Lonchura striata: one gene and its partners. The protein of the gene in region 3 interacts with the protein of the main gene of each other region in a pairwise test. Links are inferred from orthologs where the notes say so. Each region holds a gene or a part of one and is shown on either strand. Other genes may lie near its edges. The genes, in order: FKBP1B, NEDD9 and REL.

Region 1 (3,747 bases), about 81 Mb from region 3:
CATAGTGAAAGGAAAAAAAGCTTAAATTATTTGCTTGACACAAGATGAAATTACCATTTCCATTTTACTTGTTCTAGGCACTGCTAAAGGTACTGAAACCTAAGGGATGACTCTCAAGGCTCAATTAGGTGCCAATGGTGTATTAAAGATACTAACCATGATTTCTCAAGGTTGGCCAGGGGAGTGCCCAGGTTCAGAAGAAATTAAAAATATCAGTGTGGTTAATTATTAAGGAACATCCTTGATAGAAAGTTAAAAACTGGGGATTGAGTTAGGTTGTCCACAAAAGCTGTGGATGCCCTATCTCTGGAAACATTCAATGTCAGGATTGATGGGGCTTGGAGCAACCTGGTCTAGTGGAACATGTCCCTGCCCATGGCAGGGGAGTTGGAAGGAGATGATCACTAAGGTCCCTTCCAACCAAACCATTCTGTGATTCTATGAAACTGAGGCTCATCTCTTAGTTGGCTTTTTGGCTGTTTGGTCAAAATTAACATGATAACAAGTTCTGCATTACAGAGCACTTCAAAGGGTATAAACCAGCAGGTAGCACACAAGCTATGGCCTTAGGGATCACATGCCAAAACCACATGAGCAATAAGTGGTGAAGGGCAGGATAATATGATGAACCAAGATTTACAACACAAAAATTGATAAAGTGGTACTTCTAAGGGCTACCTGAACAGCCTTGTTCATTGGCTTGGCTGGCTGGAATATCCCTTATTGCACGTTGCACAAAATGCAGCAGGAATCTTTTAAGGTCACCATGGTATGCTAAAGTGGGATCCATCTCTTTTAAATTCACAGCCATTTAAACCACGGGCAACTATCGCATGCCAGTCTCCTGGGCTTCCTCTATTGACAGCAAAGAATTAGCAGTGCTTTGAGAGAAAGCCAGCCTATCCAAAGGAAGGCAAGACAAATTATTCCCTCGAGATGGCCACAGAGAAAACCCAGAAGACTGCTTTAGACTAGCCAACTAACCTGAGAAAAGTTATGTGAGATGAATCCTACCGCCAATAAAACAGGTATTATTAAAATGATCCACTATTATACAGAGATCTGAGAAAAGCAGTTTCAGACCTTATGGACACACACTCTGCTCTGTGAGTTTACCATCAGCAAAGCCAATGAAGCTACATAATTTCACATCAAAAATAAATTAAAAGCAGAGATTCGCAAGACCACTGACTCACTGTGGCTTAAGACAGTGTTTAAAGTCAGCTGATTTTGATTAAGACTTGCAACCAAGAGAACTAATCCATATAGCCTTATTTGGAATCACATATTACTTACAATGACAGCCGTGATCTATTTAATAGATAGTAAGTACTACTGTGAGGTAGTTCCATCCTCCTTCCTACTCCCAACTCACCACCATTATTTATGTGGGTATAAGTATTCTTTTTTTACATCTGTGAAACCAAGAGAAGAATTCGATCTCTAGAGCAAAACAGCACAGAGGGAGAAGCCAATTAGAAAGCATACACAAAGAATGGAAAGATACTGGGCCAAGAAACTTAATCTGCAATCAACTTGAACAAATTATTTATGGTTGCATATCAGCCAGTGATGAATCTGGCCTATTATATAGCTACATTTGTATGTTAGAAATCACATTATCTTAAAAGAAAAAAAAAAAAAAAAAAAACAAAAAACAAAACACAAAAACCTTACGGAATTATAATGCCAAGGAAGAGTAGAACACTGCGAATTGGCTCACGAAAGCCAAGCGCCAAGGAGAGGTGACTGCCACCCGGGCTGCACATCAGCCCTCGCCAGCATCCCACGCTGGACCGGGAGGCGGCGGCTCCTTGCCGGGGGATGCCGGCACGAACGGTCGGTGGCCCCGGCGAGGCCGGGCTCGCCACCGGGGAAAGTTTGGGCTCCCCGCCGGGCGCTGGCGCTGACCCCGCGCTCGGGCCGTGCAGCTGTCAGCGGATGCCACAGGAACCCCGGCCCCCTCGCCGCCGCTGCCGCCGCCGCGACCCCGGGCGGGCGCCTGGCCGCGCTCCGCCTCTCCCGCACCGGGGGTTCGTGCCCGCGGCGCTGCGGGGGCGGCCGTGCCTCCCTCCCGCCCGCCCGCTCCCCGCGCTCCCCGCGCTCCCCGCTCCGCCGCCGGCGGGGACGCGGCTCCCTCGCTCCCGGAGCCCCGCGGTGTCCGGCCGGACCCTCCGTCCCCGCGCTGCGGGGCTGCCCCCGGCACGGCTTCGTACCGTCTCCCGGAGAGATGGTCTCGATCTCCACCCCCATGGCGGCACCGGCTCCACTCAGCCCCGCTCCCCGGCGCGGCCGGACCCCCAGTGCGGGCAGTGCCCCTGGGCGGCCGCGGGCAGGGGCCGCCCCGGCTGCCCGTCAGCGCCCGCAGCCAATGCGGGGCAGGGGCGGGGAGGACGGGGAGGGGAGGGGAGGGGTCCGCCCGCCCCCGCTCCGAGCGCCCGGGGGCCGCGGGGACCAGGGGAACCTTGCGGCGGGGGCATCCCCCGCCGGCATCGCTCCCCCGCCCCACGGCCGTGCGGAGGGTGCTGCTGCCATCCCTCGGGCAGGGCTGGCTTTAGCGATGGTGCCCGGCGGAGCGCTCCTCCGGGGGTCTCGCCGGCGTTTCCCCCCGGTGCCCGTGCCCGTGCGCAGTCCGAGCGGCGGAGGGCTCAGGGCGGCTGCGGGAGCAGGGGGTACCGGTGCGGTACTGCTGCAGGCGCGCTGGCCACACAGGGAAACCAAGCGCCGTGCTTCAGCCCGTCCAGACACCAGGACACGGCCGAGTGCGAGTGGAGGGTCGGAATTTCCCGGTACAAAGAGCCATGGAGGAAGGCATCCGTGCTCGCACGACGTGTGCGCTGAAGGGAATGTCCCCCCGGTTCTACCGGTGAACGGCAGCATCGGGGCAGTGGTACCCACCGCTGGTGACCCCACACAGCAGCAGCAGCGGCAAGTCTCCAGCAGGCTGGCATGACCTTGAGTTTCAGTGTAAAACAGTGTCTAAGTTCCTATTCATATCCATGTTTTAAACTGGAAAATCTATTTATGTGTGGTGTTCCCATGATGTAAGATTACATATTCAACCTTGCTACAACTACTTCTGGGGAATGTACCTGAAACAGACTATTTCCTCATGCACTTACAGTGTATTCGAATCTCAGGAGTTTCCACTGCCTCTAAAGGAATAGTTCTGTTTGCAGTTCTGTGTTTTCTGAGTTAAAAATAAAAATGGAACCACAACGTCATCAGTTTTTCAACTGAAAGAGCTGTCTGTATCCATCTAATTCCAACTTGCACTTCTCTGACATTGCTTTTTCAAGATTTTTATCTGCTACAAACTGGGTTCTCTTCAGGGAAAAGGATCTTTCTCTGTGTGGGCAGTTGTCAGGATGACTGAACTGAGGAATTACTGTGCTGGTTCGTAACTGCAATAATGTGGCCCTTGCTCTTGCATGCATGCTCTGAACTACACTGACCATCTCCACACAGCTTTTCACATTACTCTGATCAGACTGTTTCTTCTCCTGGGTGCTCAATTGTATCTATCTTTCTTTGTGGGTCAGATACTCTGAAATACCAGGACTGGCTGCCTCTCACTCCCAAAAATGGGCAGGTGAGGAAAATCAAGAGCTCACGCGAGTTCAGAAGCAGTAATGAGGGCTGAACATGGATTCCTTTCACCTGCCTCCCATTCCAGTGAATTCTGCATCTGCAGGTAGCATGTACAGAATAAGCAGGCACTTACTGAAGTTTATCAGAGGAGGTCTG
Region 2 (3,747 bases), on a different chromosome or scaffold from region 3:
TTATTTCTTTAAATGAGGCCTTATGGGCTATCACAATGAAAGTAAGGAGTGACATCCCCCAGTACAACACTGGGAGCAGTTAAACAGAGACAAATCTACACCTGGATGCTAAGCCTCCTCTGAAGTGATGATATGTCCCCAGGCAGCCCATTAGCATTCTACGTTCCTTTATTTCATGTGTACAATAAAAAAAAAAATGTTTTCCTATAGGAAGATAAAAGAAAGAGAGAAAATACAGAAAGAAAAAAGACCAAGTGTGCAGGTGTTTTCTTTGTGTGTTACACTAGGGATATGAAATAGATCTAAGAATGTTTGTCCCAGTTAAACAGCGTAACTGCTTCACAATTCCCAGGGAAAGTAACAACCATAATCCAGCAAGAAGGCTTTTGAGGCCAAACCCCTCAATCTTCTTTTTATTTATTTATTTTTAATGGCTTGTTCTTTTCTCCATCTAGCCTTCTCTGTCTAGAATTACGTAATCACAAACCAAATCCACAATGCTCATTCCCACAACACAGGGCAAAGGAAACATTACAGAACAGGGAAGACTTCCCCCTTTTGAGTCACCTTATCTGTCCCTATTCTTGCAGTGCCACTGGCCTACATACAGAAATCAGGAAGCTGTATAACTATGCAGGACCATTACTTTGCTACTGGGATACAAGTGTTGCCTGGCCCTGGGCAGCCTGAAAGAAGACTGTGAGCTTTGGACTAACAGCAACACTGTTCTTCTACTCCCGAGTGCCTGATGTTTTCAGTTCAGAGTAACAGCTTCTCTGGGCAGGTGTAAAGTCTACCTGGACTGATCAGAGGTGGAGTAGATAGAAGAGATGAGATTAATTTTATCTCAGACTTGAAATCAATCAGTTGTTTGAGACACAATTTAAAAAAGAAAGCCATGAGCTCCACATCAAAATTGTGAAAGCCATGGATTACCTTTGTCAACCCGCATCTAACACAATTTCTTTTCCCCTTGTCCTTCCATGAGATGGTGAAATTGGCAGTTGCTTTGGAAACTTAACTCTGACCTTTCCCAAAGTTTGGCTTGAGAGACCCTGAAAACTTGGCCTGAGCTCAGAGACGTACAGAACAACATAAAAACCTGTGCACATTTACCTGGGTATCACTCGTACTTCTCACACACACTGCCACTCCATCAGCACTCTTTCAGACCATGCTGCCTAAGTTTAGTTCCAAGATGGACTTCACTTCCAAAGTAACTTAGTCTCCAAGTATATAGCGTGTGACATTTCCAAAATCACCTTTTTATTGACACTGAAGTTATTTTTGGCTGGGCAAGGAAAGTTTTTCCTTCCCTCCCCCTTTTTTTCCAATCACACAAGATTACGGTATGTCTGTACAGTAATCTAATGCCCCGTGGGCAATTCTGTACCTTGCCCAGACATTTTTGAGTAATATTAGGATGAAAGGCTCCACATTTGTGTCTTTTGAAAAAAGTAAAAAAACCAAAAAACCAACCAACCGCCACCCCTTCTGGTAAAAGGTCGCTAAAAGCGATTTTAATAAGCGGGGATGATAGGAATTAACACGGGGCATAGGCTACCCATTAAAAAAAAATGTTAGGGTTCTTTTTTTCCCCCCTCGCTTGTGATCCATCAAACAGACCGCACCGTGATGAGGAGTCATCCACAAGCGCCTGGAAGGAGGTGCATGAGCTCCCGGGGAGGATCGGGGGTACCTGTCCCAAACGCGCCTGGCCATCACGCACCGCATCCCCACCTTTCCCGCGATCCCGGGCTCACCCCGTTATTCAGGGCCGGCACCAGCGGGAAAAGCGAGAGGAGCTCCTTCTCCCCGCACAGCCAACACCGACACAGCACCCGGGGGTCCCCGCAGCCCGTCCCCTTCGCTGCCCCCTCGTTTCCCACTCCCCGCCGACACCTTCCCTGGGGCTCCGCGCCTGGAGACAGCGCAGCGGAGGGCAGAAGGGAGACCTGGCCGGCCCGTGAGCACACGGCTCGCCTTGAGGAGGTGCGGAGGGGAGCCCCGGGCCGTCCGGGGGCTGCCGTGCGGGCTCCGCGCCCCGCCGCGCTCACCTTGTACTTCATGGCTGCGCCTCCGCGCCCCGCCGCATCCCCACGCGCTCTGCGCGCCCCGCCGCGCGCCGCCGCGCCAGCCCTGCGCGCTCATTTGCATGGCACCGCCCCCACAACCGCGCAGCCAATGGCCGGCCCCGCCCCGGCGCCCCGCCCACGCGCTCCGGCCGCGGCGGCGCCGCCGGAGGGGGTGCGGAGCGGGGCGGCGGGGACGCGGGTTCGGGACCGGGTGCGGCGCCTTCCGCCACTTCCCTCCGCCGATGGCCGCGGAGAGAGAGCCCCGCACAGAGCGAGGGCTGGCGGCTCTCCTCCCCGGAACCCTTTCTGCCTTTTCGAAGCTGCTCGCCTTTACTTTTCCCCGGCGGAAAAGGACCTGGGGGCACGGGTCGACAGGCTGAACAGGAGGCAGCGTGTGCCCAGGAGGGTATCCTGGCCTGGGTCAGCACTAGTGTGGCCAGCAGGACCAGGGCAGTTATCCTTTGTATTGGGAACTGGGAGGCCACGCCGCAAGTCCTGTGTCCACTGCTGGGCCTCTCACTGAAAGACCTTCAGGTGCTGGAGCAGGTCCAGAGAAGGGCAACGGAGCTGGTGATGGGTCTGGTGCAAGTCCTGTGAAGGGAGACTGAGGAACTTGGGGGTGTTTAGCCTGGAGAAAAAGAGGCTGGTGGGGGACCTGATCACTCTCTGTAACCACCTGATATGAGGTGGGTCTCTCCTCCCTGGTGGGTCTCTCCTCCCAGGCAGCCAGCAACAGGACAAGAGAACATAGCCTCAAGATGTTCAGGTTGAACAGGAAGAATTTCTTAATTCAAAGGGTGTGTAACCCATTTGAATCCGCTGCCCAGGAAGGTGGTTGAGTCACCAACCCTGCAAGTGTTCAAGAAGCAGCTGGACATGGCACTCAGTGCCATGGCCTAGTTGACATGGTGTTTGGTCAAGGGTTGGACTTGATGACCTCAGAGACCTTTTCCAGCCTAACTGATGCTGTGATTCTGTGAACCTTTTCTGTCCATCCCTCCCACAGGCATTTTTCTCACATGTAGCTCTTGGAGGCGCTGAACACTGCTTGTTCATGTCTTTGCAATTATTTTTATTCTCACTTGTCTTCAGAAGATATCTACTACTGCTCAAATCAATCTGCCAAGTGTTCACTTTGCCTGGTTGCTATTTTAACGCTGATTAGACACCAGAGGCCAAGAATGCTTTAATGGCCTGGAGATGTTCATTATAAAGAGTGACCATTGTAAATAAGGATTATTTGGAAGAGAGTAATAATTAACTCTGGTATCTTGGAAGCAAGAAAGAGTGGGGAAAATAGATGTGTGGTGATCCTCCATGCTTTTCAAGTTAGATCTCTTAATCAGGCATGATTAATATGGTACACACAATAGGAGGGATCTTTGTATAGGGGACATACTCCAGATTGTTTAGAGGAACGGGAAATAAATTCTCTCCTTTTTGCCCAAGCTGAATCTTACTCAACATTTTTAGGTCACAAATGGACTCAAGGCTATTTCTGATGGCCTAAGGAAAAATAGCAAAGAATAATCTTGTACTAGCAGATTACAAACATAACTACATTCCATAGTACAATGTTATCCTTAAATTCTCATGTGACTAATCCTCTAGAGAGGGATCCTATTGCTAAAATGGTTTCTTGATTGATAAAGAATGTCATACTTTTATCTGC
Region 3 (3,747 bases):
GAGAGGAAACACACAGCATTGTTTGTGAGAATGAGAGGTATTACCAGCACTCTGCAGCCAAGTGTCCGGTGTTCCCTATTTCTGTAAATCAGCAATGTGCTTGTGAAGTGGCACAGCTTAACTATGTCACAATCTGCTCTCTCACACACACACAGAGTCTCTGTTAGCTCCCACACAGTCACTACAGATCTACCCTCCTCAGGTCTCACTTTGTGTGTCAAACAAATGTGAGATACACCAAAACACAAGCTCTCACTAATTCTAGAAGAGAAACACACAGCTATTCCTATTTATTACCTGCCTGCCCGCAACTACTCCATAAAGCACTTGAAATGGAAGAAAAAAAAATCTAGCTAATCCTACATCTAAGTTCTTAAGAGTTTAATTTGTCTTTGTAATTAATTCTAATTGCCTATACAGATGCTAGCAATAGAAATATTGTGCTACACATTATAACCTGCCTGTCATTCTTTTTGTTATTGAATTGTTTTTTCCCCCTCCTGTTCTGAATACAACACCGAATAATTTTAAAGAGAATATAGGAGAGCAAGTCTCCCAATTATATACGCAAGGAAAGGAGGCAAAAGCAATGACAGCTCCAAGAGTTCAGCAAGGAAAAGAGGTCGAAGCAGTGACAGCTGTAAGAGTTCAGCCACTTTGCTCATTCAAGAATTGAAGGGTGTTTTATTCTTACATTTTGAGCAATACAAAGAGGAACAAAAGGACAATCATTAAAACTCAGAACAGACTTCCATCAGACCTCTCCATGACAAGAAACCTGTGATAGTTTGAAGTTTAACACAGCCGGTGCCATGGGGGAGGAAGTGTGACATGCTGCCACCAAGCAAAGTGACAACCCGATCAAGGGCTCTGTCTCGTTCCTTTGCTCCGAACAAGCAGGCTCTGAAGGAACTGCCAATTTTGTCATTTTCTTGAACGGCCAGGAGTGCCCGGTGAACAGACTCTCCATCAGCATCTGCGTGTGAAAGCAGAGCAGCTGTGGGTCTTTGTGGAAGATGTGAAAGTATCACCCGAAACCCTCCGGCCCGAGGTGTCTGCAATGAGACACAAATGGGAGAAGCATCGCTCTTTAACTCTGATGTCACTGCTCTGAACAAATCCCTGGTAGCACAAAGTCTGTCAATTCTAAAAAGCAAGAATCTGTCCACTTACAACCTTCTGCACCACCTCAGGCTAAGCGGGAGGATGGCGAAAGCTTTGTTACAGCACACCCCAATTTAAGCAAAAGCAAATGCAAACATAACACGATTTGATTTGAAAAAGAATCAACCTACGGCTCCATAAACCGCCCAAATTCTAACAGAGACCAAACAACGCTCACGAACTTCCTCTTTACTATCGTGTTACATTACAAAACGGCAACCAAATGAAAAAAAAAAAAAACAACCACAAAAAAAAACAAAAGCTAGCTAGTACCAGGAAGTTCTAAACTTCACCCGCAGAAAAAATTCCTTATCTGGTTCCTAATTACACTGAAAATACATAAAGACACGAAGAAAAAAAAAAAAATAAAGAAAAAAACCCGAAACTGCTCTCTCCTGCTTAATTGTTGCCACTTTAAAATACATCATAACATTTAAAGCACAAGTCCAGCTGTTTTCTCTCCATGTTGATAGTTAGCATACCTATATTTTTATCAGGAGTGAAAGCTCATACCTTGCTACGTGGGAACAGAACACACACTCATGTTCTGAAAAGCAGCTTTGCCTAGAAATACTATTCTAATTAGTATAGCCGAGTTTTTAAATTTAGGGGGGTTTTTTTAACCCTAAGGAAGATACCAGAGACGCCTCCCGAAAGGATGACAAACTCGGTTTAATTTAGCCTCTAGAAACTTAGTTATGCATTTTGTTGTAATGACTCAAAGCACGATCCCTTATCTGCATTACTTTGCATTTGTGCCATCACTATTTCTCACAGTTCCGATGAGAACGGGATCCTGATGGGCACGACCCAACCTTCAGCCTGTTGCCTCCATCCCAGACAGAGACCCGCGCGCTTCTTTAACACCTAAACGCCCCCACTCCACAATTTTAAGACCGAAGAAATCCATTTGAAATCGAACAGCGGCATAAGATCCCGTAGCGACTCATCCGAACAACCCATCGCCGCTTCAGCCTCGCAGTGTAAACACCCGACGCGCCCAGCCAAGGAGGGCGGAGAGTGCTCGGAGCCCCCCGGGGCCGCCGCCCGCGCCCCCCGCCCGGCCCCGCCGCTCACCGGCCATGCTGACAGCTCCGCTCCGGCCTCTGCGCCGCGGGGCTCCGGCCCGGCCGCACACCTCGCAGGGACACACGGACGGCCGCGGCTGCCGGGCTCGCCGCCCTTTTCAGGGGGAATTTCCCGTGGGGCGGGCGGGCGGACGTGCGCGCTGAGCTGCGGGGCGGTGCGCGGCCGCCCCCCGCCCGCTCTCGCCCCGCCCGTCCCGCCCGGCACCGGCAGACCCCGCTCCGGGACTGCGGCTCCGCGGGGAGAGCAGGCACAAGTCTGTCGTCCGGTCCTGCCCGGTAGCCAAAAGTACGGAGGGAAAAGTTCAGCTCCTCTGCTTTCAGAGCGGGGCAGGTACAGCGAGAGCCTACTTCATTCCGTACCCTCGCCCTCGCAGGGCATCGCTCCGACACCCCCCGCTCTGTCAGCCTCGAGAGACCAAGCACTCTCCTTATCCGTCTTTTTCTAGGTTTCGTGGAGTCTAGGGGTCAGCCCAGGAAAGGGAGAGCTCCAGGGAAGACTGTACTGCAGCCTTCCAGTGCCTACCGAAGCCCCTCACGGGGTTTATAAGACGGACAAGGATAGACTTTTACCAAGGCCTGTAGCAATAGGGCAAGGAGGAATGGCTTTAAACTGACAGAGGGCAGGGTTACATTAGATACTGATAAGGAATTCTTTACTGTAAGCGTGGTGAGGCAGTGGAACAAGCCTAGCCAGAGAAGCTGGGAATGCCCTATCCTTGGAAGTGCTCCGGGCCAGGCTGGATGGAGCTTGGAAAAGCCTAGTCTAGGGGAAAATGTTCCTACCCACAGCGGGGGGTTGAAAGGAGACAGACTTTGAATGCCCCTCTCAGCCCACTCTGATTCAATAAATAAGCTGTACATACTACAGATAGACCAAGATTGCAGGTAAAGAAAGAAATAATCACCTGAGCCCATTCAGTCACAGTGATCAACTCTATCAAACCCTTGGAGCATCCCAGATCCTGCATCTCACAGCTTGGCCCCTACACAGCAAGGTGAAGCCAAGGAGTTGGACACTGGGAACAGCCCCATGTTTGGATCAGGTGGAGAGGTCAGTAACAAACAAACAAATCTGGGGGCAAATTAAAAAACACCTGAAAAAAGAGGAACACAAAGGAACAGGAAGGCCACACCTAGCTGTGGTGTAAGATTGCTTAGCTGACAATAAAATTTAATTTTTTTTCTTAAATCTTTAATCTGGGAGTGGAATAAACTGTCCCGTGTGAAAATGCAGTTAAATCAATTAGTATCCCTGAAAAAGAAAGATTAATAAAATAACAAGAAAAGCCTGAAAGAACAATCAAGTGAGGTACAAAACAGATAGGTTCTTGCTTTTTCCCCCCACTATGCTATTTCTAAAGCTAAGGTTATTGGGATGTACATAAATGAAGAACAGCTGAAAATGCTGTTCTACAATCTGAAAACTTATACACACCAATTCATGTAACTAAGCAGAAGAGGTTGCCAAATGTTTATTATTCTTCTTGCTCTGTAG

The links.
Region 1: the proteins of REL (region 3) and FKBP1B interact in binary tests that used the Homo sapiens proteins (3 or more experiments, as listed by UniProt). The two-hybrid records come from large-scale screens. The link is inferred for Lonchura striata from reciprocal best matches to the Homo sapiens genes REL and FKBP1B.
Region 2: the proteins of REL (region 3) and NEDD9 interact in binary tests that used the Homo sapiens proteins (3 or more experiments, as listed by UniProt). The link is inferred for Lonchura striata from reciprocal best matches to the Homo sapiens genes REL and NEDD9.

What each region holds. Positions count from the first base shown.
Region 1 is NC_134605.1:106,845,925-106,849,671, reverse strand, and holds the start of FKBP1B (peptidyl-prolyl cis-trans isomerase FKBP1B), read right to left. Parts: upstream 2,352-3,747; 5' UTR 2,254-2,351; coding exon 2,217-2,253; intron 1-2,216. UniProt on the Homo sapiens protein: Has the potential to contribute to the immunosuppressive and toxic effects of FK506 and rapamycin. PPIases accelerate the folding of proteins. It catalyzes the cis-trans isomerization of proline imidic peptide bonds in oligopeptides.
Region 2 is NC_134603.1:91,623,230-91,626,976, reverse strand, and holds the start of NEDD9 (enhancer of filamentation 1), read right to left. Parts: upstream 2,129-3,747; 5' UTR 2,070-2,128; coding exon 2,058-2,069; intron 1-2,057. UniProt on the Homo sapiens protein: Scaffolding protein which plays a central coordinating role for tyrosine-kinase-based signaling related to cell adhesion. As a focal adhesion protein, plays a role in embryonic fibroblast migration.
Region 3 is NC_134605.1:25,355,074-25,358,820, forward strand, and holds the start of REL (proto-oncogene c-Rel), read right to left. Parts: upstream 2,360-3,747; 5' UTR 2,249-2,359; coding exon 2,242-2,248; intron 1-2,241. UniProt on the Homo sapiens protein: Proto-oncogene that may play a role in differentiation and lymphopoiesis.